Linked DNA regions of Lytechinus pictus. Each later gene encodes a partner of the first gene's protein in a complex. Links are inferred from orthologs where the notes say so. Each region holds a gene or a part of one and is shown in the gene's direction. Other genes may lie near its edges. The genes, in order: catenin alpha-2-like and catenin beta.

What was found.
Region 2: the proteins of catenin alpha-2-like (region 1) and catenin beta are in contact, whole or in part, in a crystal structure (PDB 5XA5), measured with the Caenorhabditis elegans proteins. The link is inferred for Lytechinus pictus from reciprocal best matches to the Caenorhabditis elegans genes hmp-1 and hmp-2. Residues at the interface, in NP_505985.1 of Caenorhabditis elegans: Asn20, Val21, Gln24, Gln27, Leu28, Glu31, Val32, Ile35, Glu37, Thr38, Phe39, Pro40, Leu41, Lys42, Thr47, Leu50, Val51, Thr53, Leu54, Ala57, Val58, Asn60, Phe61, Thr64, Gly65, Ala68, Cys72, Leu85, Met99, Gly103; in NP_001252426.1 of Caenorhabditis elegans: Ser47, Ile48, Val49, Glu50, Met51, Met52, Gln53, Pro55, Thr56, Gln57, Gln58, Leu59, Lys60, Ser62, Val63, Met64, Asp65, Leu66, Leu67, Thr68, Tyr69, Glu70, Gly71, Ser72.

Annotation. Positions count from the first base shown.
Region 1 is NC_087256.1:10,651,219-10,668,117, reverse strand, and holds the start of catenin alpha-2-like, read left to right. Parts: upstream 1-8,305; 5' UTR 8,306-8,723; intron 8,724-13,494; 5' UTR 13,495-13,509; coding exon 13,510-13,623; intron 13,624-14,882; coding exon 14,883-15,069; intron 15,070-16,022; coding exon 16,023-16,189; intron 16,190-16,838; coding exon 16,839-16,899. UniProt on the Caenorhabditis elegans protein: Required for cell migration during body enclosure and cell shape changes during body elongation. Required for proper localization of other junctional components, such as pac-1.
Region 2 is NC_087245.1:36,919,973-36,937,140, reverse strand, and holds the start of catenin beta, read left to right. Parts: upstream 1-10,264; 5' UTR 10,265-10,461; intron 10,462-13,571; exon of another isoform or gene 13,572-13,688; intron 13,689-17,168. UniProt on the Caenorhabditis elegans protein: Required for cell migration during body enclosure and cell shape changes during body elongation. Plays a role in recruitment of the cadherin protein hmr-1 to adherens junctions.

The DNA of each region.
Region 1 (16,899 bases):
TGAGTTTGTTTGTTTTGTGTGATATCGAGCGCCTTTGGAAAGTTGATTCATGATGTTGCCCCCCCCCCCCGAATCTTAAAAAAAGGATCGACGCCCCTGTGTATATATATATATACATATAGTAAAAAAAAACTTGTATCTCTATTAATATACAAAAGTATTGGCCTCATCGCAATAAAAGGGTTAATACACGAGATTTTGAAGTCGCACATAACATGCATAATTTGTGTTACTTTTTGCTTGTTTCTTTCTTTAATAAGTTTTTCAATCTCTCTCTATATATGTTTTAGAAAGATTATATGTTTAAATTGATGTATATTTCTGTTATAATGAGATATGTTTAAGTGGACTTCAGGGAATGGTCGTACGCAGCAAGGGGGAAGGGGGGGGGCACATTCGCGATCTGCTGTTGTGAAAAAAAAAAATTTCCTTAACATTTCATGAAAACTATGAAAAATTTGCAAATGTGAGATGTGCACCAAATTTTCGAATCTTGCCCCCCCCCCCCGGAAATATTATCTGCGTGTGGTCATGCAAAATGGCATGACTGGAAATTCTACATTTTGAAAAGAGCATTTGACAGGGTCAGATTTTACCCCTTTTTCAACATTTTCTTTTATGGCGCCGGTGAAGTGCAAAAATATGTGCGCCGCTCGGCAGTGCGCCCCCCCCCCCTTTCGCCAAAAGCTGGATCCGCCTATGATTGTTTGTGTATGTATGATTTCCTTCAGTTTTTTTTTCACATCATACTCAGTGATGCTGGAGGAACACCAAAAGAAACCATCTCCTAACCGACCGATAGTCTGTCATTGATAATAATGCATATAGCTTTGATTGGTCTGGAGTCAGCTTCGCTGGTGTGACTATTTACACCCATTAACCCGATGACTACTGAATTCATTCATTTTCATAGGCTTTGTAAAGGGAGCACCTGGTTCTGGTAAAGGTAATGGGTTAACTGCAAGACTGATGCAACTTTGTTCCTCCGAATGATTTTTCCCACTATATACATGTATTTTACGGTCACTAAAGGCGCAAGGTATTACCCAAATATTTGCTGGAAGTTGTGAACTTAGAATATAAACCTGATTATTTTTTAGACAAGCAAGTCATTTCGGGGGAAAATATTTAAAAATCGGCAATATAGGCCTTCATCAGATAAATAACAAAGAAGCCTAAAAACGATGAAAGAAGGATATGACATTTTGAAAATCAATTACATTGAAGAGAATGAGTGGAATTCTAAAAGTACCCCAAAGTCGGTTACAAAATGACAAATTATATCGGTTTGGAAAGTCTATGAAAAAATAATGAAAATAATGGTACAGTCTTGAAAGTAATACCGAAGACGAACAATAATAACTCGGTATTATGAATGATAAATAGTTATTACTTATTGAAAAACATAGGCACAGGAAAGCCAGTTCAAACAAAATAAGCGCAAATGATACCGAAAAAAGGAGAAAAGTTCATTTTGAGCAAAGGTTTGTTTACGAGAACATAGAATATTATTTGAAGAAATAACATGGATGTTATGTTGATATAATAATGTTTACTAAATTTAAGCAACTAGCCCTGCCATTGCGAGGATCGGCACAAAGTTTCAATTATAAAGAATTTCTGGGCACCACAGAAAAATGAGGGAACGGAGGACGTCACTCGCTCACTAAGCTTCGCTTTTCTCGGTATTCATATCATTCGAGAGTGTGGATATAATTATGTATTTTATTGTATGCATTTTGAATTTTTACTCAATAAATGTAGAAAATGGTGATATTCCGCCGTGAACATGTGAAAATGCTATTGCGGAAACGTAAATCAACAGCTTTCTTTAATAAAAAAAGATATCTCGTAAACGGCGAATTAAAAATCGAGTGAGTTTGTTACGTCATCGCCTTGATCTGTTGATCTCATTATCATGATTATAATATACTATCCGTATTATGCGCTAGTATTTCGTAAAAACAAGCAAAATTTTAAAATGTCAATCTTTTATAGACCTAAATCTGAATTTTATCAATTTTCTCTATAATCTTATGGATAGGTCTATAATAGACATAACAATTAGACGGCATGATATAACTCGGTCAGGATGGTGAAAATAATACACTGTTAAAAATAAAACTGTAAAAAAAAGAACATTAATTATTACTGGCAGCTGGGACTCAATTCAATTCATCTTATTGATGAAACAAACAGTATGAACTGTTAAATTACGATGGGCAGTAAAAATGAAAAAAAAATAGATAACTGTAAAAAACAACAACACAAAAACATCATTTTAACATTCATTTAACATGAAAATCGCCATTAATTTACAAATACGAATACTATTTATACGATAGATGCACTGCAATCATCGTAAAAACAAGATAGTTCGTTGGTATTTTTACAAAGAGTAATATATTTTACTTTGTTTTACATTTAACTTGTGATCCTACGTTACATATCCCTGCATAATTTTCGGAGTATTTCATTTCATGTCTATTTCGAACAATAAATTATGGATTTTCATTTTCATTTTCATAAAATACGTTGTTTTTTAATCATTGTGTCGTCTGTTTTTAAAAGGTAAACATCCTGTAAATTTACGATTTTTCTTTGTAAAATTACTAGTATTTTTAACAGTGTAGGGATAACAATTATGGATGGATTGTGGATATAATAAGAAGCTTAATAACATCACTGGGCCTAAAATAACAACAATAAGAATAATGATCAACAACAACAATAACAATACGTAGTGATATTAATGATAATAATGCATGCTAATGATCATGATAGTTTGCATGTTTTGGCAGGGGAGGGGCGGGACGTGATGTAGGCCTATTATTTCCATTAGGCCGATATGGCATTCAGTAGGCCTAACTGATTCAATTGGAAGGTGACTCCCTTTTATTCTTTTAATCATCTTCCTCAGCCTATTTTACCTTGTACTGACTTTTTTGTTATGAAATTTCATTCTTCTCATTGCACTGGCGTAAATTCGGTAAGAGCAGTGGGGGAGGTGGGGGGGGGGGTGAAAGCAATATTTTGACCTCAAAATAAAAAAAATGAGGGGACACCCCCACACCTATATAGGGCTAACAATGTACATATTCCTTTAATCTTTCAGTTAAAGGCCTCTAACGATTTCCTTTTATTTGCTATAAAAATGCATTTGTTGTGTTATAAACTACTGAACTACAGTTAGTATCCAAATAAGAACGAGCGAAGCGAGCGAGAAAATTTTCCATAGTTGGAAGACAGAATGATAACCGAATCGTTTTTCAATTAAGGAGTGTAATTCATTGCGGTGGTGAGCGTAGTTAGCGAGCCTTTAAAAGTTGCTTCATTATGATGATAAGGGTATTATCAATAACGTAAACTTTAGAATAGAATGTGAACAAGAAATAAAAAAAAGCAAATAGGGATTAAACAGTCGAGTCTTGTTCTATGAAAACTCATATGCTCACTGATTAAAGTGAGATGAGAATGAAAAGTCAGTAGGCCGAATATATTTTTAACAAAATCCCCCGCTTCCCACTGGGCAATTTGTTACCGATTACCAATTTTACCGGTTATTACCGGTAATATCACCCGGAAATTTGAGTAACACCAAATATTACCGTTATTACCATGTTATTACCGAAATTATAATTCCTGTTGATACCTGTTACTGTTATCACCCTGATGAAACCTACATTTACCTAGTTACAACAGGGTGATGAGGGGTAATAATGGTAATGTTGAATGACTTTGATTGGTTATAACATTGCAAACTTTAGTAATAAGAGCAATCTTACAGCAATCCCAGCGAAATTTTCAAAGTCCAAAAAATTACTGTTATCACCCTGATGAAACCAACATTTTACCCAGTTACAAACAGGTTGATAAGGGGTAATGGGTAATGTTGAAACGCTTCCATTCCCAGACAGCAAAGTATCTGGATCACATACGGTTCTTATCTGGGATATCTGGGTCCCATATGGGCCCACATGGAACCCAGATGAAAACATATACTTGAATCCACATGGTGCCCAGATAGGACTCAGATGGAAACGAGACCTCCAACCCATGCGGAACCCATTAATATTGGGTAAATGGAGTAATATCAGATGGTAATATCAGGAAAATGCTGGGAATATTAGTTACTCATGAATATTCATTACTACAATAAATGGCCAAAATTTTAGCTAATATAGCTGTAATAATTAATGTGTTTATGTTTATGCAATTATTCCACCCAGAAAATTTTCAGAAAAATGTGTAGTTTATATATCATATTAGTCATAATCATGACATTAATTTTAGAAAAATGTTTTAGGGTTGAATAATTGTTAACCATAATTTGTCAAGTGTTGTAAACTCGCTCAATATATAGAAGTAAATGACAGGGTTTGGTGGATAGGTGTAGGATAGGATTAGGATTAGGATGTAGGATTTTAGGATAGGATAAGATGATATGGCTTAGAGTATGGAGTTGTAAAAATGTGCTTCAATGACCCTAATGACACTAATTGTTTTTTTAATGAGCCGACATTAATTGGGTAATATTGGGTAAACAGAGTAATATGAGGTGGTGATATCATTAAAATGCTGGAAATATCGGTTACATCATACTGGGTAATATTGGGTAAATGGAGTAATATCGGGTCCGGGTAATAACGGGGAAAGATTGGTCTACTATTTCCCCGTTACTACCCACTGGTGTTACCGTGGTAATAACTACGTTATTACCTGCATCCACTACTAGAGATTTCCCATATTACTTAAAGGTGTCACGCGCATAAAACATTCCCCATAGACTTGTGTGTTAAAATGGCACTTTTGAAAAATTCATAAAAAATAAATGTGAAATTAGAGGGTGGAATGTTTACTACCAATGGATAGGATATATATCTGACATTCCAAATCTGACCAGGAAAGGGTACCGTAGCCAGCTCATTTTAAAAATAAATCGCCATTTATGAAGATAACTATGAATCGATCGAATTCATCAACTGAAACAGTAAAATAGCCCTAATTATTCCGCCAGTCAAAAAATAGTTCCAAGTCACTTATTTATCTTCCCAATTTGGGCGAAGTAAGTTCAGTAGTTACCATTTCTAGAATCAGTGTTAGATTTTGAGTACATTCATACATTTTTGTCAATCAGCAATATCAAATTGACAAAAATTCGAATGGGTTGGGTCGAACGAATATCTTTAGCCCTCCTGATGTAATTAGGCTCGTGGGACCTATATTATATGACCTATGTATTTTATTTATTTGAATAGCTACTTTGCTATTCTTTTATATCTGTACACTCACACTAGTACAAAGAAATGCATTGAAAATGCCTATTTTCTATGCAATCACCCATTTTAATGTGTTACCCATACATGTTATTTTCACTGTATATGGATGTATACAAATCCTACCTGCATATAGCCCAACAGTGAATGCAATGACAAAATAGGTCCCTATTAATTGTAATATAAAGGTGTATGTAAATTATGTGTAGATATCAGGATAACAGAATTGCCCCAAACATAATTACCAAATATACATGAGATTGGATGAGGAAACAATAAAAGAATGAGATACTACTTAAGTATATTTGCATTTGACCTATTCAAAATCTTGCTAGGGCTGTTGCCTCTCAGATGTAAGAAGGAAGAGATACATAAATAGATAGAGAGAGAGAGAGAGAGAGAGAGAGGGAAAGATAATTTTATAGATGGCATGGCTTAATAAAGGGGGGGGGGGCTATACTAAGATTGCAGCACACAGCCACCCCCCTCCCTCCTTAGTTGAGCACTATTAGATACCTTACCTTACTCTGTGCCCTTTTCTATATACCTTCTTGAAGGTACCACTCTAGTTCTCTTCAGTAAAGTTCTCAAAGTTCTATCTCCTCTCTTCCTACCCCCTTCCTAAGAACAATTTCAACATGAGCAAGTTCTAAAGGTCTTTCTAATGCTAAGTAGGTGATGTACACTAACACAAAACAATGATAAATGAGAACATAAAGAGGCCTTGACTCTATACATTGACCAATCTACATACATTCCTAGGCTACACAGACCTACTTACTAACTTTACCTGATGTAGCCCTGCTAGCCATTAAATCCATTTTTTGCACCACTTGATGACTAAACATATTGATATCAGTGAGAAATTGTTTGATACTGAAGAGTTTGGCCAGGTATTCCATATCCACTACTAGAGATTTCCCATATTACTTAAAGGTGTCACGCGCGTAAAACATTCCCCATAGACTTGTGTGTTAAAATGGCACTTTTGAAAAATTCATAAAAAATAAATGTGAAATTAGAGGGTGGAATGTTTGCTACCAATGGATAGGATATATATCTGACATTCCAAATCTGACCAGGAAAGGGTACCGTAGCCAGCTCATTTTAAAAATAAATCGCCATTTATGAAGATAACTATGAATCGATCGAATTCATCAACTGAAACAGTAAAATAGCCCTAATTATTCCGCCAGTCAAAAAATAGTTCCAAGTCACTTATTTATCTTCCCAATTTGGGCGAAGTAAGTTCAGTAGTTACCATTTCTAGAATCAGTGTTAGATTTTGAGTACATTCATACATTTTTGTCAATCAGCAATATCAAATTGACAAAAATTCGAATGGGTTGGGTCGAACGAATATCTTTAGCCCTCCTGATGTAATTAGGCTCGTGGGACCTATATTATATGACCTATGTATTTTATTTATTTGAATAGCTACTTTGCTATTCTTTTATATCTGTACACTCACACTAGTACAAAGAAATGCATTGAAAATGCCTATTTTCTATGCAATCACCTATTTTAATGTGTTACCCATACATGTTATTTTCACTGTATATGGATGTATACAAATCCTACCTGCATATAGCCCAACAGTGAATGCAATGACAAAATAGGTCCCTATTAATTGTAATATAAAGGTGTATGTAAATTATGTGTAGATATCAGGATAACAGAATTGCCCCAAACATAATTACCAAATATACATGAGATTGGATGAGGAAACAATAAAAGAATGAGATACTACTTAAGTATATTTGCATTTGACCTATTCAAAATCTTGCTAGGGCTGTTGCCTCTCAGATGTAAGAAGGAAGAGATACATAAATAGATAGAGAGAGAGAGAGAGAGAGAGAGAGGGAAAGATAATTTTATAGATGGCATGGCTTAATAAAGGGGGGGGGGGCTATACTAAGATTGCAGCACACAGCCACCCCCCTCCCTCCTTAGTTGAGCACTATTAGATACCTTACCTTACTCTGTGCCCTTTTCTATATACCTTCTTGAAGGTACCACTCTAGTTCTCTTCAGTAAAGTTCTCAAAGTTCTATCTCCTCTCTTCCTACCCCCATCCTAAGAACAATTTCAACATGAGCAAGTTCTAAAGGTCTTTCTAATGCTAAGTAGGTGATGTACACTAACACAAAACAATGATAAATGAGAACATAAAGAGGCCTTGACTCTATACATTGACCAATCTACATACATTCCTAGGCTACACAGACCTACTTACTAACTTTACCTGATGTAGCCCTGCTAGCCATTAAATCCATTTTTTTGCACCACTTGATGACTAAACATATTGATATCAGTGAGAAATTGTTTGATACTGAAGAGTTTGGCCAGGTATTTTATGTTACAACCCAGGTAATATCGGGTAAAATGCCCAGTGGGTTGGGCCATTCACCCTCAAAAACGTTTTACGACCAAGAAAAGAAAAGAAAAGAAAAGGGGTATAAATTTAGAGGCTGAAATATAATCCTTTAAATCAGAATCTATCTCAAAGATTTTCGTAATAAAGGTCAAAATTTTCTTGCTCATGCACTTCGATCGCTAGCTGCCCGCTCCCACGCAGCTTTTCAGAAATATTTCCCCTTTTTGGCATGTTAACCCCGTAAAATTGTTGGCTCATTACGCCACTGACTCTAATGAGTGATAGAAAAGTCACCAAAACAATTTTGATAATAAATAGGTCAGTTATTGTATCGGTCTATATGATACCAAGTATCAAAGCGCAGTTGTGTATATGCACATAGTAACTGCGCTATATAAATGGACATATTATTATTATATTCTTTCTTAATTAGGCCTATATGGGGGCCTATCTTTTTTCCTATATAGGCCTACGTTTCTCCCCGCGTTTCTCTCCCGCCCGGCGAAATTATATGCGCTTCCAACGTTATGTGCGCATATGCCTTCATTCACTGCGTAGACGTTATCATGAGTGCGATTATTGTTTTGATTTTAAAGAACAATAAGCATTTTTTTTTCTCAAAATCAATTCACTCTTCCACACCTCACATTCTATTGACATGAATGATGCGACTTCGTGCTGAGTAACTTCTTTGGTATGCGATATCTCGGTGTGCTTTCTACTATCATACATCCCTCTGAAAATTAAGAAAGTGATTTCACTAATGGATTTAATTTTTTTAATTTTCAAAACTTTTATTATTTCAATGAGACCTTATTTAACTAATATAATATTAAAGTTTCTTAAGTCATATTATCTCTTTATGGCAGGCGATGAGTCCTTAGTTAAAAGAAAGAAATATGATTTGTTTGATAATATGACAATCAAATGGAACAGCCACAATACAATCAATTACGTTTATTTTATATAGACGAACGTACCGTACCGGTACGTTACGTTTACACAGGCCCACTTCTTCAGTTCTCGATTAACGGTTCTACTTGGAAGACTGAATATTTATTGGAAAATAGGTAATTATGTCTAACATTTATTTTTCTGACACGTTTTGTGTTCAAAGATGAAGTACAGTGTGTTGATAAACTGAAGATGTATGTATACTTGTTGTCATACGCGGTGAAATTAAGCATTTTGTGATGCAGGGCGCAGTATGCAGTCCCATTCGTATAAATATGTGCTGTAAATTTGTCAAAAGTTTTGCCTTATTTTTAAAACCGAAATCATGCAACGACCCTTTGATTAAAAGAAAGAAACACGATTTGTTTGAAATACATATGGATAATTTATTTTTCTGTTTCAGTCATGAAAAGGGAAAACAGAATTTGCCTATGCCATCGCGTTTTTAACAATGCAAAACTTCGTACTTATTCCAGTCTGCGGTGACCGATGGTGATGCTACTCATTTTTGGCGGAACTGACATGACTGAGTCTAACGTTAAATAGTCTTGGACATAACCTTGTTCATGAATGTGTGCTCTTGGCTTGCAAAATTAATGCAATTGCTGTAGAGTAAAGTGCCCAAATATCTGACACTTAAGCATAATTGGACCAAAACAAAAATACAATCATCAAATCAATAAAAAGCATGTGTATTTCCTTTTTAGGCCTACTCTACAAATGTTGAATATTAAGTCATAAAAAATAGAATTGAAAAAAATATCGTAAACAGAAATTATTTACTCACTACCAGAAGCTTGTTTTTTGTCACATATCGGGCACATAAGGTTGTGCGCCGCGATCAATTTCGGCGATTTAAATTGCGCTCGCGCTCTGAACCCCAAAGTAATTGCTTGATTGTTGAGAAAATAACTTATATCAGCTGCGCAAATGCGGTTTTAATTATTACTATCAATAATTTTGATATAGACATTGGTAAATAATAATTATTTACTTACCAAACGGACCTCTTTCGGCTCTAAATATCGGACGTCTTCGCTCAGCAGCATGCGACTTCGTTCTGAAAATGAGCGCGCGCGCCTCAACAGCACACATTTCCAAGTCAAAAACATAGATTTTACCCCTGGAATATTTTTTTAGCAGCAACCTGGATTGACTGTATGCAGTTCAATAGCAGGTATGTTCATGTATCTCATGCATGCAAGTCCCCCGCCAGTGCGGGTACCTGTAGTTGTGGGGAGGGAGTTGAAGTCATTTTCGTCCGATATTTGGAACTGTCCGACGTTTGGGGGTTTTACTCTACTGGATCAACTTCATGCACGGTCACTGAGGCCTTGCTAATAATATACGGACTGTGTCACTGTTGACTGTCAGAGTGTGCAAGTCAAACTTTGACTGACTGCGCTAAACTCCTTTATATTTGACAGGATTTCGGCCTAGATCTAGTTCATGCTAGTTAAATAAAGTAGCAACATTTCAGGAAATTGCGCAGATGAAAGGGGAAGTTCACCCTGACAAAAAGTTGATTGTAAAAATAGCAGAAAAATAATAAAAAATATTGCCAAAGGTTTGAGAACATCCATCATAGAATTGAAAAGTTATTAGAATTTTCATTATATGATTTGTGACGTGATATGTGAGCAGCATCCCCACAATATAGCGAATAGTAAAAAATCAATGAAATTTCATTTTCTCAAAAAACGGTTTTTATTGTTCCTTTTGTACTATATGTCAAAAGACAAATAATTTCACACCCAATCATGGATAGAAAACAAAAATAATTTGTCAGGAACTAAAAAAAATGAAATTCATGCATTTTATATTATGTAACATATGGGGCAGCTTCGCAGCTGCTACGTGCTCGTTTGTGAAGTCACAAATCCAAAACTTAAAATTCAAATAATTTTCTTAATCTTTAACAGATTTCCTCAAACCTTCACCAATATTTTTGATTATTTTTTCTGCTATACAGCAAACTTTTCTTCAGGGTGAACTTCCCCTTTAAAGGTCAAGTCCATCACAGGAAAATGCTGACTTCAATAAATAGAGAAAAATCAAACTAGCATAGTGCTGAAAATTTCATCAAAATCAGATGTAAAATAAGAAAGTTATGACATTTTAAAGTTTCGCTTATTTTTCACATAACAGTGATATGCATAATTAGGTGACTCGGTCGATGATGTCCATCACTCACTATTTCTTTTGTTTTTTATTGTTTGAATTATACAATATTTCATTTTTTATAGATTTGACAATAAGGTCCAACTTGACTGAACCTTATATAGGGACAGTGATTTTCCGCGATCGCGGAAAACGGACGGAATTCACGGAATCGGCCTTTTGAAACGGAAAGTGGCTTTTCAAACGGAAAATCACAGAAAACATGTTTTTTCTCAAAATGCACAAAATAGCAACAGAAAGTACTCCCAAATCCTCAACAAAATACAAATATCAACTGAAAACACGATCTCACTTTGCTACAACAATCATGACAATCAACACATCGTATTTACACTTGAGCCCCTCGATCGTATCTAAATTAGTTTACACTCACGTCCGCATATAAGGCAGAATACGGCCGTGTGTTGCTGCCCTCTGCGTTCAGTCATAATATCATGATCACGGTGATTCAAGAAATCCAAAATGGCGGATAAGTGGAAGTCGTCGACTGATCAAAACCATGTCCGAAAAGTCCCCAAATCAGTGATAAAATCTCATTTAACCATAGAATAATGCTAATAATATGAAAGGTGAGGATTTATTAATGTTGATTATGTTTCTATAAATAGTTTTTGAGCTCGAATCTCTTTGATTAAAATGGATTTTAAAGTGATGTTAGTACATTGGCAGATGCAAATTTTGACAGTGCTAGCATTTTGACATCATTGCGTATTGGTTTTCTATGTAAACGGAATTGTCACTTTTTCATGTACCAGTACACAAAGTCTATGGGGAAACAGAATTTCCGTTTTCAGACATGCTGAAACGGAATTTGAGATTTTCTGAAACGGAAAAGGCAATTTTTAGAAACGGAAAATCACTGTCCCTACTTATAGTATTAAACAATGCTAATTCCACATGTTCAGGGAGGAATTAATTGTTGTATCACTTGACAATGAGGAGAAAATTAGAATATTTCATATTTCACATAATAAAATACAAGAGAAATAGTGAGTGGATGACGTCATAGTCTCCTCATTTGCATACCAGCCAGGATGTGCATATAACTGTTTTGTGAAATTAAGCGAAACTTTAAAATGTCATAACTTTCTTATTTTCCATCCGATTTTTGATGAAATTTTCAGTGTTGTGCTCGTTGGATTTTTCTCTTTTTATTCAAAATTTTTGTTGGGGTGGACTTGTCCTTTAATAGCAGATGACAAAATCCATCTTTCAACATACATGTAGCGAATAATTTCTAGAACCATTTTGGCAAGGCAGTGCAGTGCCAGGTGAATGGGACAGCATCAGTCACGTGTTTGCATCTTCTGTTAGACTTTCAATAAACACCAAGCCCAAAATGCCCATCTTTTTGCTTACTCTAGAGTAAAGTACACAACTATTGGATGCTTCGCACTTCGCAAGTAGATAGGACAACAAAAATTTGGAAAGCTCTTAATTTGTCCAAAAAATAATACATCAAAATAATCCTCAACACCTAAAATATAATGAAATGTACTTTAAAGAATTTCTATAGGCCTATAACTTCTGGAAAAGTGGCAAAATAGATCATGTTTAATAGACGTAATGGGACAGGTCTCATTCAGCTGTATGTCGCACGCATGTGCGCGACCGCGTGCGCACGTAGTATACTCATCTAATGTGTAAACATTGCATTAAGCTAGTGATACCTGGTAATCCATGAAATTCATAATGCAAGTCTATAATATCCATGGCTTCAGAATGCATTTTGTGCTGCACTGTGCTGGCTGGCTTTTCACTGCCACACAAGGAAATTTCAACAATTCAAGTTTAAAAAACGATCAATAAATTTGGATTTTATTGAATGTCAGGTTATTCTTCAGGCCGAAGAGAAAGCAAAAAAAGTTTAGAAAGCCTGCTCAGGTACTAATATTTTCATAGCTCTACTTAATACAGTAGTTGATTTATTGTGTAGAAATATAGTATCATGTGTAAGTCTAAATCATCTAGAAAATGAAATAAAGGCCTGAAAAAAGGTTGATGTACATGTAAGGGCATTTTCACAATTACTTCTACAATGCACCAATTCCTTTAAAAATGCAAGTCAAATCACAATGGATAGCTGAGAGGTTGTGTCGAAAGTGGGTAGACAGGGACATCAGATCCTCCGAAGATTCGGACCGGATGAAAAATTGAAAATATGTTTTTTATCCAGAGTCCAGGACGACACCACTGATTTTATTCGCCAATTTTTGACAAAGGCTTTTGACGAAAGATTCTCTGCATTATAGAATAGATTGCAAAAATGCCCTTATCATAGTTTTTGGTGGCACTGCATTTCTGATGTATTTCTTTATTTTGGCGGTCCATCGATTTCTGGAGAAAAAATTCTGGGCGGGCACAGGTTAAAAAAACACACACAAAAAATGGATGGCTCAAGCCGACTACAAATAAACCAAAGTTTGCACTAACATCGATTCTTTACTCTATCGTTGTCTAAATCTGACCCATCAATGAATGATTCCAAGTTTTTCCCATGAAAAAAGAGAAAGAATTGGCATCCAGTCCGTCCAATGCAAAAAGTAGATTGAAAATGATGAAGATTGCTGTTGAGAGAGCTTGCATGCATGAGACTACATGCTTTTCATTTGTATTATTTTAGTATGAAGGGGAACCTGGGATTCCCTGGGGAAAAAATAACGTAAATTCATCCAATTATTGTATGAATCTTGTTTGTTTTTATAGACAGAACTACCAGACATGTCAGGCAGCATGTCACCTCCAAGGGGTACCCTAACCCTAAAATGGGACCCAAAGAACCTGGAGATTAGAACATATTCAGTGGAGAAGACGTTGGAACCATTAGTTACACAGGTAAAGTAGTAAGCACTGGCGTAAATCCCGGGGGGGATGGGGGGGATATATCCCCCCCACTTTTCGAGGAGGGGGGGATGGCCTGTACAAACATCCCCCCCCCCCACTTTTTACGAAAGAAATGAAAAAAAAAACATCACAAGAGATAATTGTTTTATTGGTGAAAATTCTTCCTGAAATACCTACTAAGAAACCTTAGAATGCCCCACTTCAGGTCTGAATTATCTAAATTTTCAGCTCGCGCTTCGCGCTCGCCATATTTGATTAGTGAGATGCGTATGATAATCATGATTGCAATGACTACAAAAAGTGTTTCATGTGTTCAGATGTAATTCTTATAAACCAGCAAGCGCTTGGCACTCGCATTAGATGACTATGGTGAGATATGCATACTCTTAATGGATTCCTAAAATATATTCCTCAAAATCTTGCTGTTTGGGGTCAAAATATACGAAAACTTCAGCTCGCGCTTCGCGCTCGTATTGTTTAGCGAGACAGGTACCTATCATGATTACACAAATTTGATTATAATGTCTCTTTTTAGGTGTGAATATAAAAAAATTCAGCTCGCGCTTCGCGCTCGCATTATTTGATCAGTGAGATGCATATATCCGTTTAATGACATTGTCCAGAAAATGTCTCTATTAGGTCAGTATAACTGGCAACTGAGCGCGCTCACTCAGTGATTCAAACATTTTGCTGGTGCCCCCTCCCCAATACCGTGACCCACGGTACGCCACTGTGGACATATCAATGACAATTCCTTGCATATCTAAAAACATGACTGCAAAAAAAAGCCAAAATATTTCAGTCATCCCCCCCACCCATCAACACGGATTTACGCCAGTGGTAGTAAGACTAAATTATGTGTGAGTTTTCACCTTTGAAAGACTTGCATCCACAAAAGAGAGGGAATATGATTTTAAAATCATTTTTTTTGATTGCGAGTAAAATTTTATTATTTTTGTTTGTGAATGTCAATGTAAATGTGATATGGCCTAGACAAAGGATTGTATCAGCTAGATCTAGCAATGTAGTACTCCTCCCCTCTGAAATCATTGAATACAAATTTGAGCAAATTCTTCGCTGAAATTTGACAAAATTTGTCTCACAAAATTTTTTTCACTTGTATATTTAGGGTCTGCTAAAAAAATTAATAAAGATAGCGGGCCTGATTTTATGCAGTTTACTGTCGGTTTGATGAGGGCAACATTTATTTATTTTTTAGGTCTAATGTCTTTGTTTTGTCATTCAACTAGGTGACTACACTCGTCAACACCAAACCGTCGAGTATGAAGAAAGGTCGATCTAAGAAAGCTCATGTTTTGGTGGCTGCTGTGATCAAAGCAACAGAGAAGTTCATTGAGCAAGGAGAAGAGATAGCTCATGAAATACCAGAGATTGAAAGGGAGATGTTGACTGCTGTTGAAGAAGTCAGAAGCACCGGTGAGGTTTTCCGTAACTTAGTAATTCAAAGGGCATTATATTGATTCGCAATAGAAAGTTGCTGTAAAAATATGACATCATCAAAATGGGACATGCTTGTAATACCGTCAACTTTTCATTGTTTAAGGTCCTTAAAGGTCAGTGTTGTTCAATACTAAAAGTAGCTGTTATTGAACCGAAGAGCCGAAGAGATAACTATTGGAATGAAGGAAGAAAGAAAGGAAAGGAAGGAAAGGAAGGAAGGAAAGAAAGAAAGAAAGAAAGAAAGAAAGAAAGAAAGAAAGAAAGAGGAGAATATCTTTTAAGTTTAAGATACTATTTAAAATAACTCACAAAATTATGTTTTTAATACTGAATATGTTTTTAATACCGTGCAACATGTTTTTCTCTTAAATGCAATGGCTAATATTGCAAAGGTATTATTTTTAAAAAACACAGAACTTTGATTCATGTTGTATTTAGTAATGATCATATCAATGAAAAAAAACACCCCGGAAGAAAGAAAAAACATCAAATTTGTTCAGACACTTTCAAGATATCTGAAAAATCATCATTTACTCAATCTCCTCAGGAGACTAATATAACTCATGTTAGTGTATGGGATGAAATTAAGAAGGTGTTTATTTTGGGTCACTATATATTTCACTCTTTTATCAAGCACTAAATAACGATTTTCAGGTCCATTTTTTCTGGGCTTCATTTTTATGTCATCTCACAGATACCAGAGACAAGTGGGACCTTGCAGCTCAGATTTTTTTACTTCAAAAGTCAAATCAATGCCTTTAATGAAGGAAAAATAAACAAACAAGTAGAAAAGTGTGTATGTTTGTTCAGAAAGAGGCAGAACTGTACTTTGCAGAAGTACTTTTAATTCTATAGACCATTTTCCTTCCATTTACCTTATAAACTATTCCTTATGAGTACAAATCCCTTCCACTTTGTCTGTTCTAAAGGTGAAGATATGCGTGTAGCATCAAGTGAGTTTGCAGAGGATCCATGTTCTTCCGTAAAGAGAGGTTCCATGGTTAGAGCTGCGCGTGCATTGCTCTCTGCAGTCACCAGACTTCTCATATTAGCCGACATGGTTGATGTACATCTTCTACTTCAGACACTCAGAGTTGTAAGAATCTAATATGATTTTCAAATTTGATCAAATGATTTTATATTTAAGATCGATCAAAACAATGTATTCTTAAATACGTTTTGGATATTTGTAAATAATGTTCTGTATCGGCCGCTACATTATATCAATTCATAATGATTAAAAACAAACATTTTGTGGCTGGGCTGATAAAACCTTGTATCTTAATTTTTTTTAATATTTTGATGATAGCTCAGATAAAGTTAGTTTTAAGAGTCATAACATGAGTAGCAACCTTCTTTTGCCTTAAAAGAGTTCGTTACAGGCATCAGGAGACTGTGTTTCAGACAATACGAGACTGCCACCATTGCTATATTTTTTTTTGATACAGCCTATTCTAAGCTGCACTCAAAATTTTGATACACAGGGTTTTATCATCCCAGCCATGATTTGTAAGGCAGTGTTTTCATATTTGTAAAAGTGTTCAAATGTCCAATTGTTACCAAAAGTTGTTCCACCCCACCCCCAAAAAAATTCAGTTGAATAATCTATTTGTCTGCTGATATTAATAATACCCTGATAGACATTTTATACATGTTGCTTGTATTTTCAAATGCATCAACCTTTTTTTCCAAATTCCACATCATGATATTTTTTACCATGTAGTTTTATTTCATTCTGATTCTAGGTTGAAGATGATTTGGATAAAATCTTGCGATCACAGAACCCAGAAGATCTGATGAACAACT
Region 2 (17,168 bases), on another chromosome or scaffold:
TACTACTACTACTACTACTACTACTACTAGTATACTTCTTCTTCTCCTGCTGCTACTACTACTACTACTACTACTACTACTAATATAATACTACTACCCTACTATTATTACTACTACTTCTACTACTACTACTAATACTACTACTACTACTACTACTACTACTACTACTACTACTACACTACTATTATTACCGCCGCCGCCACCAACGCCACCATCACCACTAAAACACGATGTATCAGCCATGTGTCGTGTACAAAGGTAGACTTTTGAGAGAGAAATGGGACTTCTCGAGAAAAGTTGTATGTAGCTTACCGCAGATGGCACTTGACCTGTTCCACGGAGCCGACATGTAGAGCTATGGACATGGTGGAAGGTCAATCTTAAAAAGATACTCTAAAGCCTGACTCCATGACTTACTGGTGAAGGGCAAGCGCCTGAAAGTTTAAAGAATACTGGTACTACTCTCGCAACGGGCATTTGCCCTCTCCATATTGTTATGGATCTAAAACATACTGAAGACCCGTGTGTCACGTACGTAGATCATCATGATTATCAAGGCTGATCATAATTGTTTAATTATTTTATAGTAGGCCTATATTTATTGTGCTTATTATTGCCCTCTTCATCATTTCACTTGGATCCCCCACTCCCGCCCTGCTCACAGCAAAAAAAAAAGGGGGGGTAACGTTTCCCACCCCAGCTAGCCCCCCCCCCCCTCCCCGTTTAACATTTCAAGATAAGTACAGCTCATACAGGGCACCTACACACACGAGTAAATCATTACCGTGCAATGCTTTTCGGACAGGTGCAAGTAAAGATCACGTGATTTTTTTAAAATAAAATAATTCATAAAAATTCGGCAATATGTTTTTTATGAATGTATAATACATCGAAATCTATATAGGGGTTGATTTCAATGATTTTGTGAGCTACGTGAGTGAATGTGAGTCCGAGTTACTCCTATGTGCCCTGTACTGTATGACGCCGAGAAAGTACCCCATCTACTGTTCAAATACTGTCCAATGAGGAAACTTTTTGCGCGAACAAGAAAAGTAATTTTACAACAACAAAAAATAGAAAAGGTGGCGATTGATCGATTTCGAGTTTCAGTTATCTAAAATGCAGGGGTCATTGAAAATGGGTTTTTGATAGATGATCCTACCCCCCCCCCCTGCCTTGATGCCTTTGCCTATCGTATATTCGATAATTCTGACATTAAAAAAAAGAAATCATATTGATGATGTCCCGTATGACAACTCTAGCAACTCTTATTATGTAAAACAAAATGAGAGAATAGTCATAGGCGGATCCAGGGGGCGAACCGCCCTCCACCCACCATATTGGCGGCGAAAAAGGGGATATAATTATTATTTTTTTAATCAGCACGCGCTTCGCACTCGTTTTTATTTTATTTAGTGAGTTACGTTTGCTTTGCTCATGATTTCAAATGGCCCTCAAAATATATAATAATAATAATAATAATATAGAGTATTTATAAAGCGCCAAATCCACATTGATTATGTGCTCAAGGCGCTGAAATATACTTGGTATATTATTATTATATAGTTTTCAGATCAGTTTATAAAAGCAACAGGCCTACATTATAATGCAAAAAATCATTTGTCAATCCTATATATTTTTTTTTTAGTTCTTGGAGGACAAAATTTGAATAAACATAACTTCATGTAATTATACAAATGCAGAACACGAGTGAATATCAGTTTGAGCTTTGAATATTCATAAAGACATGCCTAGAACTGTTTTACCGAAATAAGTTAGAAATGCAAGAACTTCGTTATTACTTGTCTGATTTTGATAAAATTTAATTTTTCATTGTTTGGCTTGTCTGATTTTTCTTCAATTTTATTATCAGTACTATGATGTATTCTTGTAATTGGTTCTAAAACAATGACTAAGAAAGAAAGAAAATGAGAGATGTGGATATGAGGATATCCTTTATGTAATATTTTAGTCTTCTACCCTCGCAAAATTTGACATTAATTAACACGTAACTTTCCTAGCGAAATAGATACCCCTTTTTTCATTATTTTAGTGTTTTGACACCCTTATTACGTTACGTACGTAACGTGCCCTATCTTGAAAAAGGCATGATTTTTATGAGTTTTTCGGTCGCGCATGGTAACCCCGTTACGTTACAGCCACGCATTAACAGTAGTATTACTAGTTTGATGATTAAAACGTGTTTTTCTGTCTTAATTAAGTGTGGGATGATTTTACAGGCCACCGGCCAGCCCCCCCCCCCCCCCCTTTAGGCTCTCTCTCTCTCTCTCTGAAAAACGGTTTTGGGATATATGGATACGCTAGTCATTTATGGCCTCCCACGGGGCCTCCTATTGATTGGTCTTTAATGTAACTCTGCTGCAGCCCCCCCCCCCCCCCCCATTGGCGGAGCAAAAAAGGGTAAGAAAGAAAAGTAGTAAAGAAGGGAAAAGAGAGGAGAAAAAAGAAGAGGAAAAATAAGAGGAGGAATACGAGTGAATAAAATCAGATGAGCGGAAGACTTGGAAGAAAAAAAATCTTTCATGTCACTCTACAAAATTTTCGTTCGCACTTCGCGCTCGCATTGCCAATTAGGTGATTTGCATATCTTGCTCATTATCGAGCTTAAGATATCAAGTTTTGAAATCAATTTACAAAACATATTTCAGTTCGGAAATCGAACTTTCATTATTTTGTTTGATTTACAAATTGATTTTTTTTAAGTGCTCTGTAAAAATGTCATTTTTATGGTCTAAATAGTAAAATTTTCTGCTCGCGTTACGAGGCACTTATTATTTGTGAGGTACTTATTATTTTCGTGTATTCCATAAAGTTCTCAAAATATCCCTATTCAGGTATGATTGTCAAAACGTATCAGCTAGCGCTGCACGCTGTATTTTGATTGGTGAGTGATGTATATATCTCAATAGGCTATTAATTTTATAACCAACTACTTAAAATCCCCATTTCATGACAGTTTATCAAAAACTTCGGCTCGCATTAATTGTTAAAAATATATCAACTCATGCATCTTATACATAACTACAAAAATGCTTGAAGGGATGGTCCGGGCTGAAAATATTTATATCTAAATGAATATAGTAAAATACACATAGCAAAATGCTGAAAATTTCATCAAAATCGGATAGCAAATAACGAAGTTATTGAATTTTAAAGTTTATCAACATTTTATGAAAACAGTTATATGCATATCATGCATGAATACTCATTAGTTGGGCTGATGATGTCACATTTCCACCTTTTTTCTTTTTTATGTTATTACATGAAATCATAAATGTTTCATTTCATACATGTGTAAATGATGTGTCTCCATTATAATGAAATAAGTTGCGGCAATAAATACCTAATGCACTCAATCAGTTGTCAATCCGATGATCAGGCATAGTCCTACAAGCATCGTTGGATAAAAGTATAAAGTAAAGTAAGTAAAGTTTTAGTTGTTGGTAGAATAATTTTGAATAAACCTAATTTCATACAATAAAATACAAAAGAACAAGTCGGGATATGACATCATCTGCCCACCTAATGAATATTCATAAAGACACGCCTAGAACTGTTTCACCAGAAATCTTTAATTTGTTATCCGATTTTGATCAAATTTTCAGCATTTTGCTCTGTGAATGACTCTCTTTATTGAGATATAAATATGTCCAGCCTGGACCATCCATTTATATGTTCAGTTTTCAGGCCATAACAGATTTCGCGCTCTAATAAGGCTTATTAAATCATTGAGATAAAAAAATAAGATTTTAATCCAGTCATAATTAAATTGTCCCTTTTTTCAGAATGGAATAGGCCTATCGACAAGTTTCATCTCGCGCTTAGAAAGAGAAATAGGAAGATAGTCATCATTTTCATATGCTATGACGAAATGTCCTTAGAATGTCCCGGTCCTAATTATGTCAAACTCAAAGAAATAATAATGAAAAGTATCAGCTCTTTATTAAGTGCGATCCATATCCACCTCACAATTTTCCTACGAAGTGCTTGAAATATAGAGCTTAAATTGATTTTTTTTTTCAGATCGGAGTATAAAATAGGCCCTATTTTAAGCTTGCGCTTCGCGCTCGCTTTGTTGATTTTCATGGGAAAAAGTGTATTTAGAGTGCCGAGATTCTAGGTCTAAATCTGAAACACGCGTATGCATGCTATTGAGATACGCAGCTTTTTATATATTTAAATAATTTTCCAGTTTCAGATCAGAATATCAAAAATTTTCCGCTCGATCGCGCTTAATTCGCGCTCTCATCATAGCTATCCTGTTCATGATTACAAAGCTTACTGTCAAAAATGTTCAGCTCGCGCTCGCATTATTTGATTGTTGAATTATGTAACGTCTTCATGGCTAACTGCAAGCAGGCCTTAATACTGTTAAGGCCTGATTGCAACTTAGCATTAACTGTACAGGTCCCTTTTCGAAATTTCTGCTCGGGCTTCGCGCTCGCAGTTGCATACACATCTTGTTCAGGATCACAAACATTGCCCAAAATGTTCAAATTTTACAACAAGATATACATAAAATTAAAAAAAGTTAAGCTCGCGCCTCGTGATCGCAATATTTAGATTATGAGATAATCATATATTTATGTTATAAGAATAAAGCTAAGAAGCCGCTAAGAAAGAAACAAAAATCAACTTCGAGCGGCCGTTTGGCCGGATATGGCTGGAAAAATAAATCCGCCCCCTCCCCATTGGCGAAGGCTAGATCCGCCCCTGTAATAGATATAGTTTCCTAATAAAAAAAAGAAGAAAGTTACCAAGTTCCTATGATAGCTATGATAGGAAGAGTGCTTCCAAACAAGGAAGGTTTTCAGATCTGACAAACCCTCGATCCACGTACATGTCTATCAGAATTCGAACTTTTGGCGAAATATGAGGAAATAATTTCTGAATCAGTTTCAAGAATGAATACTTCAGATGGCTAATGACTTGAATCCGCCAAGAGCAAAAGTCATTCGTCGTTCAAGTCAATCAATCAGTCATTTGACCTACCCACCTGTACAAACTACAATGCACCCCTTTTATCATCAACAATAAAAGCATTCCAAGTGAATAAGTCAGACTACAACCGAAGCACTACCAGACATATATCCATCCGCAAATTTTGATGAAGTTTATATGATTTTATTGCAATTTAAGATACTAAAATGGCAGAATGGGAATGAAATTACCTTTTTTCTTGTCATTTTTTGAGAAAGATGCACATATCATAAATTAATTTATCTAAGGTTTGCGATTTGATATTGATATTTGAACTATATTCTTTGTGCGCAGATTTTACGTCATTGATTGACAGGTTAGCGTTATCGAGCTTTCAATTGATTATACGTGCATTCATTTTTACAGAGATACCGTACAAATTATGCTACCCGTGGTTCCGTACCGTACTGTCGTGTAAATTCAAATATTCATGTACAAGTAACAGAAAATACCACCAGATATCAGTGTGACAGTTGTGGACTCTTCAACTTTCAAGGGTTTTAAAGCCCTAGCAGAAAGGTGAGTATTTGAAGTTATTTTGTTCGTTTAAGTAACATTTTTTATAACTGTAGTGTAGATGTGGGATCACTGGTTGAGTGGAGATGTGCGGAGGAAAGCGCAGCGACAGCGGAGTGCAAAATGACATGAATGAGAAAGTGCAATTGCAATCATCTGAATGTGAACGATCTGAGCTGAATAGTGAATCAATGTGAGAGGGGGTGATCAAAATGGTGGATTGTATTAACTGATCATATCAAATGCACATTAATGTCATTATTTATTTAACTTCATCAACTGGGGGGGGGGGGACTCAAATAATTTTTTGATGGGGTGTACCGTACCTCACGAAACTCTGAAATGGGGGTCTAACTAAGCCTAATGTTAGGAATTGACTAAAAGGGTAGAATACGGGGTCTTGGGAACTTGAGATACTGCAAAGTGTGAAAAACAGTCTATGGTCATGGAACGGGATCGCGGCAGGCACTGTGCACTGCAGTGTAGGTACGTTGCACCATAGCGCTTAAAAAAAGGAAAAGTTCCGTCTCGTTCCGTTCGTTCTCCTGTCAAAATTGAAAACAAAATGGCCGATCGATACTGAGAACGAACGCGACAGAGGTGTAACTTTTCCTTTTTTTGAGGGTCCAGTTTGTGCCTTGATGTGCCGGGGCTGGGCTGCTTCTGAACTTAAAGAATAAAGGGGAATCCAGCCTTTTCCATAAAATGTTGTGTTGGGAAGGAGAAAAATAAATCAAACAAAATGGTGAACGTTTGAAAGAAATCCGACAAGCAATAAGAAAATTATAGCTGCTTTAAAACTGAGATCACTAATACTATGTAGATTTCAAATTGGCAACTGGGTAAGTAAATGATGACAAGGGGCAAGGACAACTTTCCCATAGGCCATGTACTTAATTATCAGGGATTTGTGGTTTTCTCCTAAGTACCCATTCCCCTGGGGCAGTAATAAACCCAGGTTGCATATTGTTTCATGTCCTCATAAAAGAAAAATATAATTTGAAATAAAACTTTTGGGGAAAATGACATTTTAGCCAAGTATTGGAGTACATGGAAGAGTAGTCCTTGCCTTACATCACTGTGACATCTCATATGCAGCCAATTTTACAACTTTTTAAATTTTTATAACTTTCTTGTTGTTTGTCCAATGTTCAAACTTTCACCTATCAACTTGTCTGATTTTTCTTTTTTTTATAAAAACAAGTTTTTATTTGGGTTGGATTCCCCTTGAACTTTTGTCATTTGGAGTCTAGAGAATTGAAAATTGGGTCTGAAAAAGGGGGTCATCAAAGGGGCACATCCCCGTACCACCATTATTTGTGAGTGCCCCCTCCCCCCCTCTCGGGCTTCAACCACGCCAAAACCTAGTAGGCCTACCTCACTGATATGTGTACTGTGTAACTTTAGACTCCACTATTCACTAACCCTCCGGCCTCCGCTACACCTGACCTAGCTAGGCTACCCGAACCATTGGGCGATAAATAGAAAAAGGCAACACGTCATGTAAAAAAGAGACATTAAGCATACTCTACAGTGTCTAAACTTACTATCGGACACAGACTCATTCCTTGCCCTTTCTTGTAAACGTCTCAAAATCAGTGATATGAAGCCGGTTCGCAGTACACCACACATATTAATTCACCGTCAAATCCAAAATGGCGAACTCGAATTGCGCACGGCCCGTGCAATAAATTATCAATTATTAGTTGTACCTTTAAAAATTGATTAGTTTTTACACTTGCGTAGGAACAAAAACACTTTAGATTTTTGCTCTGTAGTGGGTCTGCACATATAATGTAAAGATTGGCTTCATGTTAATTGGTTTTGGAGCTGTTGATAATGTTTTTAATTGCTCTTCGACAAGCTTGTGTCCCAGGGTTGGAAATAATTTTTATTTTTAGGGGCCATTTTCCCCCACATTGGAGATGATTGCTGAATTTTTCAAGGCTATTTCTTTCATTTCAAGGGCTACATACATATACTTAGACAAGCAACTATGCTGTAAAAAGCAGTGTGCTGTATTTTATAAAATTGATTTCTTAACTTTCTTAGATTGCTTTGAGCAGATCTTGGGGTGACTTTAGAAAAGACTATCACCCAAACATTCAATTTGGGGAAATTTATGGGCATTTTTTTTTTGCTATCCAGAGAGCGAATCCACCCATCGCCCTGGTGTATTTTCTGTGTTGTCCTGTGCACCAATTGCTTCATAGATCTTCCCTAGCTCTACATGTACATGTAGCTGAGTATGGATTTAAAGATGCCAGTTGTAACCATTTCAAAATGAGTTGGTACAGAATCCTATAAAATGACCACCCAAGTGTCTTTTTGTACTGAATAAAAAATTAGGTGCCAAAGGATTCTTAAGAAATTGTGTAATTGCTGCAAAATAAGAATGACATTTCACCAAATTGTCGGGTCTTTCCATGTGTACTCATCTGTGTTGGCGAACTTCAGTGTGATTATTTTCAGCTTCAATTTCGTGATTTCACAAAGTTCAGCTTATATAAATGTACCAGGAGGCCGTTTCATAAAGCTGTTCGTAAGTTGAGAGGGACTTTAAGAACTACTGGTGAACCTTTCTTACGCACTAAACCATCGCCAATTCATTAAATTTACCATTTACAACAAAAAAAGATCACCAGTCGTTTTTAAAGTCGCTCTTAACTCAGGAACAGCTTTATGAAACACCCACCCGATCTGGGGCCATTTCATAAAGGACTTGCAACTGTTGTAACTTTGCCATAATGGCAACTACCATGGTAACATGGCTCAGCAGCCAATCAGAATCAAAGTTTCCATGGTAGTTGCCATAATGGCAAAGTTACAACAGTTGCAAGTCTTTATGAAACGGGGCCCCAGTACATGTATCTACATGTGTAGGATGATTGATATGGTACATGTACATGTATGATATGGCCTGGTTTTACACTTACTCATGAAATGAGCGTTTTCTGCAACTTCTTTCATTTAGCTTTAAATCTGTTAAAAAGTAGAAAGAAACATCCATATTTCTTAATTTTTCCTGTTGAATGAGGTACATGGATACGTTTGGTTATAATGTCAGTCTCAGAGATGTCTAAAATTATGGCCAACTCGTAAAGGCTTTTTGAGACCTTGATATAGAATAGACGGACATGTACATGTGTCTCGTTGGAAGCACCCACATCTTGTGTCCAACTGTTAATCCATACCCTCTTCAGTTTCTTGTTTCAATTCATTCTTTAAATAAGTGTTTGGTACCGCAAAATCGTAATATAGCCTTCAAAACGGACATACTGAAGCTTTTCGACATGCACGCATCAGAGTAAAATCGCATGAAATGACTAAAACGCTAGAGCAAAACAATATGTAATAGAACCGAAATAGACAATGTACGCTGAATGGCGAGCCGTGATTGGCTGTCAAGGTAAACAATTTAGGCTTAGTACTAGCCGTAAATTTAAATTCATTCTTTGCTGTAGGGGTTAGGCTAACATTAGGTTAGGCCTTTGGTAATGAATATATGGTAAAACTTGAGAAAAAAAAATACCAGTACTTGATCTTGTATGATAACGATATTGAAGTGCCCTTGATCTTTCCTTGGAAAAACTTAAACAAGCAGTTTTTGTTCAACTTGCTGTCATTTCTTTATTTGTGCATCAATCATGTTCATACTTGGTACATGCATGTATGAACCTTGGGTAATACCACATGTGAGCCCATGAGAAAAATGGGGGTCAAAATCAAAGGTCATCTAGTGGTCAAAAGGTTAAACGTTATGATATGTCTATCCTTGTATTTTCAAGTGTTTGTTCAACTTGCTCTCATTTCTTTATTTATGCATCAATCATGTTCATACTTATATGTATAACACATGAACCTTGGGTAACACCACATGTGAGCTTATTAGAATGATGGGGATCATGAGGGTCAAAGGTCATCTAGTGGTCAAAAGGTCAAATGGTACATGTATGTGTATCCTTTAATTTTCAAGATTTTGTTCAACTTTCTTTATTTCTGCATCAATTTTGTTTACACTTGGTACAAATAATAATTGGGTAATAGGGGGGGGGGTAATACCACATGCATTCTAATGAGCATGATAAGCTCAAATGTCATCTAGGGGTCAAAAGATCATATTGCATATTTCATTGATCGCGAAATCGGGTGATACTAGTGAACCACCTTGTTATTTTGTTTCATCGTCAGATTGGGCACATTTTGAATTAAAGGATTAGGAAAGTTTGTCCTCTGTATCAATTACTATATGACACTGGATAGAATCATATTGCTCTTGTCGCATACAATAAGTCATATGTAATTGGAATGCACTTCCGGTAATCTTGTACAACAAGGCAAAGACTAGAGTGAAGATTTTCTCCTTCATGGAAATGGGTAAATGACTTGCTGTGCACCCAATAGGTGAGCAAGCAGAGTAAATGGGTTTTTATAATTGTAGTCTATTATTCAGTCATCTGTTGTTATTTGTTGCATTTTTATTTGTGAATATATAGAATACCGGGAAAATACAATAAACTACATTTAGGTCGGCCTGTAGTGTGCACAGTGGATGTGACTGTATAAAGTGTGAGACCTATAAGATGTAGGTCCACATGTAGAAACTCGAAGCCCTTAAATAATGAACAACTTTATGTCTGAATATTTATTCAATGGAAGACTATGTTTATTGTGGCTTCTCTGTGTGTGGGAGTAGCAGTGGCTTTGTGTGTTTGTATAGCATTGGTATTCATTCCAGTGGAATGCCAAATACAGAGTGTGTGTCATGGGAGATAGGAGGGTGTACAGTATGTACATGGACCTGCTGTTTATCTCAACACCCTTGCCTCCTTCACACACATGCACTATTGCACTGGCAATTGGAGAGGATGCACTTTGTTTGTTTCTGTAGGACTTCCAAGTGCATTTCGCATGAGCATAATGATGCTGAGTGCTGAGATTGATGTGGGTTACAAATGAATTTATATCCTACATAGAGTAAATCCTGTATAGTGATTGGTTCAAGTAGCATCATGTGACCGAATATATTTCAACTATGATGTTGCGTGACGTCAGACCTCGATATATTTTTGGATATACCAATATTCTGACGTCATTATTTCACAAAACTGGATATCTCGGCGCACCGGCTTGCGCGCTCTCTCTCTCCCGGGCGCGCAAGTCCAGCGCGATGCGTCAGCGCAGACACTAATCTGCGTTCCGCTGGGCGCGGTGGCTCGGAAAAAAGTAGGTAATTCAACAGGACTTTGCATGCTCAGCGCATAGATTTTGGTTATAAATTATTAAAAGTAGGATATAAAGCAAATATATCAGGCGTTTCATTCGAAAGCATAGTGGGAATATTAATCCTCGGTTGGACTGGCAAAACTACTATATTTCCCTCGGGGCTTCGCCCCTCGGGAAAAAATAGTAATTGCCAGACCAACCTCGGATAAATAATTCCACTATACTTTCTCAAAGCCCGATATATTTGTTTAATGGATTCATGATCATGCAATATACATATCAGAGTACATGCAGGATTGACTGTTTGCTCTTACTAATAGAGATGCATAAAAAAATGTAGGCCTATGATGCAGTTATGCATTGAATTTTTAAATGGCAGTGTGATTCAATTTTATGTCATTTGTTTTTATCTAGGCCTACATGTACATGTAGGGTCAGTGATTTTCCGTTTCAAAAATGGCCTTGTTCGTTTCAGAAATTCTTACATTCCGTTTCTTTCAGCATGTTTGAAAACGGAAATGCTGTTCCCCCATAGACTTTGTATACATGAAAAAGTGATAATTCCATTTACATAGAACGTCAATACGCATTGAGTAGCGATGTCACAACACTCGTGCTGGTCAAAATTTGTATCTGCCACTGTACTAACGCATTAGAATCTTATCATACCTATACAGGTGCACAAAATATTTTGACAAACACATTTAACATTACCTTTCACATTATTAGCATTATTTTGCAGTTGAATTAAATTTTATTAATATATAATTTGGGGATTTTTTTTGACATCGTTTTGAGCAGTCAATGATTTTCGCCTAAAAGCCATTTTGGATTTCAAGAGATATTGTTCTGTTACCGAACTTAGAGAGCAGCAACATACAGCCGTATTGCTGCCTTCTACATGTATATGTTGGTTATAATCAAACAATGTGCGCATTTATGTGAATGTTTTCGATACGGCCCAGGCCGTCCGGCGGGGGCTGGGGCGAGGGGTATACGTTGGAGTCGAAAACAGTCACGATGTGTGGATTGTGGTGATTGTAGCGAAGTGAGATCGTTTTCAATTTTATGGGGTTTTGTGGCCAGTTAATATTCATATTGTGTTGAGATTTTGGAGTAATTTATTTGCACTGTTCTGTGCATTTTGAGAAAAAATATGTTTTCCATGATTTTCCATTTGAAAAGCCACTTTTTGTTTGAAAAGGTCTTTTCCGTGAATTTGGTTCGTTTTCCGCGATCGCGGTAAATCTCTGTCCCTATCTATTAACATGTAGATGGAGGTCTAATTGTCTTCAACAAAAATGTGATGTACATGAGGCTTACATGTATTCACATACATACATGTTGCTTGTAGGCCTACAGTATCAAATGAAATTCATCATGAGTGGTTAGTGGCAACAAGTACATGTAGGCCTATAGCATTGGCCCTAATAAGAACAACAGATGCAAATTTCAATATTTTCCTGGTTTAGATTTGCATGAAAAAAAATGTTTAAAATATGATTAAGCCTACATGTAAATGAAATACACAAAATGAGAGGTATTTAGCCTTTAGGCTATTATATTCCTTTTTTGTTTCTTTAATGTTGAAGTGAAATTGATGCCCCCCCCCCCTACATGTATACATGTACATGTATGCGCATGAAAAACACAATGCTAAAAAGATGAGAAACATTTGTGGCTTACATTTCAAAATAAGAGACAGTGATAACGAAGTACTGTAAGCATTGTGGGTGAGAAGTTCAAGCCAAACGTCAGCATGGAATATCTAGTATGTGAGTAAGATGACCCTGGGTGGTTTCAGACCGCCTCGAAGTTCGCCAGTTCCAGGTATTCTCTGATCGGGAAATTTACCCCGATCAGAAAATACCAGGTATTTTGGCGGTGTGAAAGCAAACTACGCGTAATATCCCCGAAAGAAAATACCCGATAAATAGTAGGTACTTGGCGAAATTACGAGAACTTTCGCGGGGATTTTTCCAAGGTCGTGGGTATTTTGGCGGTCTGAAAGCAAATTACGGGAACTTTTAGCCCAGCGTGTCGTTGGGTGCGGCGCCGTGCATGGGTTGCTCCTGGGCTAGTGATTTTGAATTTCGCGCCTTGCTGCTTATCAGACCATACTGCGCATGCTCGTAACTTCAGGAACTTATCCCGAAGGGTATGTTTCAGGGCGGTGTGAATGCAGGAATAATTAATGGGTATTTTTCAGCCTAAAAAAGTTCTCGTAATTTAACGGGGATTCTTGTGATCGAGGCGGTTTGAAACCACCTCCTGTCAAATTTTCTCAGATGATCACTAGTACTTGCCCAGACAGTGACATGTACATGTAGTCTGTTTCAATCAAACTTCCATCTTTGTCTGTGTGGAATATGCTAAAATGGGTTGTACATCAGTACACCAGCACGCATTACTGTGGATTTTAATCAGTTTCTTATGAATGTCTAGTTTCTTTTTACAGCTGGGAAGGAGATTGACTCTCTTTGAAATTCTTACTTTAATTTTTATTTAAACTACATGTACATGTACTTTGTAATTCATATTTTCATTTTATATATTTATTATTATGTATTTTCCAGGGGGGATGCCATATTGTTTTATTTATTCTGAATTATTGTCAATACATGTGCTACTAGTGCTTAATTCTAGGCCAAGCATTTATTCTGAAAGTGGAATCGTGATTGAGCTGAACATGTAGGCCCACTGATCTCTTCACTCTTGTGACATTCATGTCAACTGGTGTGGTGCCATTGGAGAAAAGCTTCTGAACAGTTACACCCCAGTGCCCTGACTTTCACATTCCATTGCACCATGGCAATGTCAATCAAATCCTAGCCCAGACTGCCTGTAAGATGTCATGCTTGCCCATGTAGTCTACCGCTTGAAGCCCATTGGATTTTGCAGTGTTGCATGTACATATAGGATAAAATTAATGTGTACTTGTACAGGTAAATCTGTATCAAAACTTGTAGACCAGGAGAGCATTTCATCAACATTTTTGTCTGACAAGTTGTCAGATCTGACAACTTTCCTTGATTTTGATTGGATGAGAGGCACTGTAACTGTCGGATAAAACAGGACTTGTCGGACAAAACATTTTCATGAAACGCTCCCCTGAGTGACATGTAACGTACTACATGTATTACTAGGTGAACAATATCTGTGCATGTCCTACATATGTAAACACATGTAGAGTGTTAACATGTGTATATTTCAGGTTTCTTCTTACATGTTGCATTTCATCATATACATGTACAGTAGGCCTACATGTACATGTACTCAATGCATGAACACCTGTATATTACACAATAGCCTCTTTGCAATACATTTTTTTTTCTTTTTAACCCTTTAGCACCTGAACCGCCCGAGACCGCCCTTCCTATTACACACTGAACCGCCCGTACGTTTTCTTTGCGCTATAGTATCTCTTGTCTATGATTTACCGTGGTAATATTGCGTGTGCATATCGTATAGGTTGGCTGCTACATAGATCTGCATAGAAAAGTGTATGCTCCTATTGAGTATAATAGAGAAAAACCGATTGACATGCATCGGTGTGTAGCAAGTTCCAGACTGTTGCGCAGTCGATATCAGCAAAGATGGCTGCGTCCATGTCTCGGAAAACCACTTACTTCGCCGAAGAAGCTCGGGCCTTGCTATATGTTCATCAAAACGTTGGATATCACACAGAGTGACATCTAGATGTGTGTTGGAATTAATATTTGACATATTTGATTCAAGATCTGGCGAAAACTTTAGTATTCTGTCAGTGATACTTTACATTTTTTTGAAGGCGTGGGACTGGGGCGGCTGAAACCCGAACTTTTGTTTTTTTTTTCTTCTCGCTCTGCAAACGATTGCCAAAGGTCAATATTCGTATATCTGATTGAACTTTGCCATGTACCATTCTATTCAACAGGTCCTATGCTAAAAAATAAATATAACTTGTAATGAACAAAAGTAAATTTATAAAAAAATATTTCAATTTGTTTGGAACAATGCCTACTTATTACCAGTTTTATTGTTTCCTCCAGTGAGTAATTGCCATTATGCATAGGAATCTGTAGGTGCTAGAGGGTTAAAGCCATTGCTTCAATTAGTGATGTACATTGTAGGCCTAAGATGTAGGCCCTCCATAGTCATATAAACAACTGAAATGGCAATGTATTACCCAATACAGTTGTATCATGTGTAGTGTTACATGTACATGGAATTTGTCGATCTTCACTGACAATTTTGCTCTGAGCCAAACAGATACAAGGATTGCAGTAGCTTACAATAATATACAGTGAAAATCACTATTTGTTTTCATGAAATCTCCCCAGACTGCCAATCATTGCTCAAATTGTCATCACAGTAATTATGATGAACAATTGAACAGATCAAATTACACAATACGTGTGGGGCATGCAGTACATGTATGCCTAAGTACCATCCTTGATAGTTATATGTGGTGAAGATTCATCAGGTTATATTTAAGAGCGTGATTGATGAGACTATTTGTATCTCTGTCACATAATTAGCATGGACAGGGGAGTAGTCTGTCATGAGCCTGTAATGTGCCAGATGACAGGTCTAATTAATGACGCCAGCATTTCATTAATGCATGTCTGTCTGTATTGATTGGTTCGCAGACCAAATATACAGCTACATAACATGTTTAAGAGTTCATGTACATTGTGTACAGAGGCAAATATGACTTCATTAACAACATGGAAATCATATGACCTGTACATACACACCCTGCCAAAAAAAGTTTGAAGGGGGTATAGGCTAATTAGTGTTCTATCGGTTCATTGCAAATATTTCCGTTTGAATTCCTAATTTAGTTTTTAACCAATTCTCATGAAATTTGGAACACACTTACATGTAGGTCTTGGGGTAAAGATGTGCGAAACTCCCCTTTTCACTTGTTTCCGAAATTGTGTTCCAATGTGTTGGCATGGTAACATTATATTATGGCAAAACTTGGGTAAAATCTTGTGGTTCGGAGAAGAACAAGAAAGTTATGAACATTTTACATGTATGTTGAGATCACTAATTTAATAATGATTTAGACATATTCCCATTGGCAATGCGACCAAAAATATGAAATGTCCTACTTGGACAACTCCCAAATTACTTTTCTACATATTTTACTTATATTGTCACATTTATCAAGTCTATCCAGAGACCAGGGCCCCGTCTTACAAAGACTTACGATTGATCCAATCAATCGTAACTCTTTGGAACTCTTTTGAACAAACATGCATTTTATATGTTGACTTTGCTGGCTTTCCATAGTTGCGATTGGTCGGATCAATCACAAATCTTTGTAAGACGGGCCCCCCAGAGGTGTTTTTTTTTCAGTGGAGGACTTGAAATAGAGGGTAATTTTCATGAAATCTGTCACGGACCAATATTTTGAGGTATATTTCAGTGTACAAAGGGGAGAGATGTACTTCAGTGACATCACAAATCTTGGTCACATCGACAATGGGAGCATCCCCATACATAGCATCTGTGATTTAAACATTCAAATGCTCAAAACTTTGTCTATTTTCATGCAAGTTTGATTTATTTTGGGGCTGTCATTCTCCTTTACATGTAAGCCATAAGTTGTCCTCTGGTTGTTTACTTGTAAGCCATAATTTGTCCTCTGGTTGTTTACTTACAAGCATAGTAATTGCAATCATTTTTTTAAAAATCTCCACGAGTCACTATCTACCATCCCCCAATGAAATATTTACTACTGAACATAATGTCGTAGTAGAATACACTTTTGATTTGTTTAGCATATTCATCCACCTCTGTGAATTTACACATTGTTTTCCTATGCAAATGTCAAAAGTTCATGCCACTGTCTGTCAATCGTTAGAATATCTCATCCATGAAAAGAAATAAAAATAAAAACCCTGAGTCCATTATTCACTGGCATACTGGAAAAATGGGAAGTACAAACTTGTCCAGTATTTTCATTCAAGCCTGATTCATCTCAGAATATAAAGTTTGCTTACCGGTATATACAAAAAAAAATCAAATTAAAATGGTTATTAGATGCTTTCAGAAATTGGTAAATGTAGATCTTCTTTGAAAATTTTGCCATTTTCTGTAATAGTTTACATTTACAATGTTATGTGCATAGGCCTAGGCTACACCTACATGTAGCTTCATTTGACAAATACATTTCTTGTGCCTATGATAATCTCTTTGTTAAATGTTTTTATCATCCATAAATGATGCAATGTGAATGACTCATGTACATGTACACAGCATACTTGTAGGTTTACATGTTGGCCTCCTCCTTACTACGTACCTGTAGTGTACTCCAATAATTTGTGTCTTGCCTGCACAGCAGATGTGAGACAAAAATGTAATACTTGCGATCAAAGCAGTAAAAAGTCAGAACTTTATTATATGAATATCTGAATTTTGATTGCCGATATTTG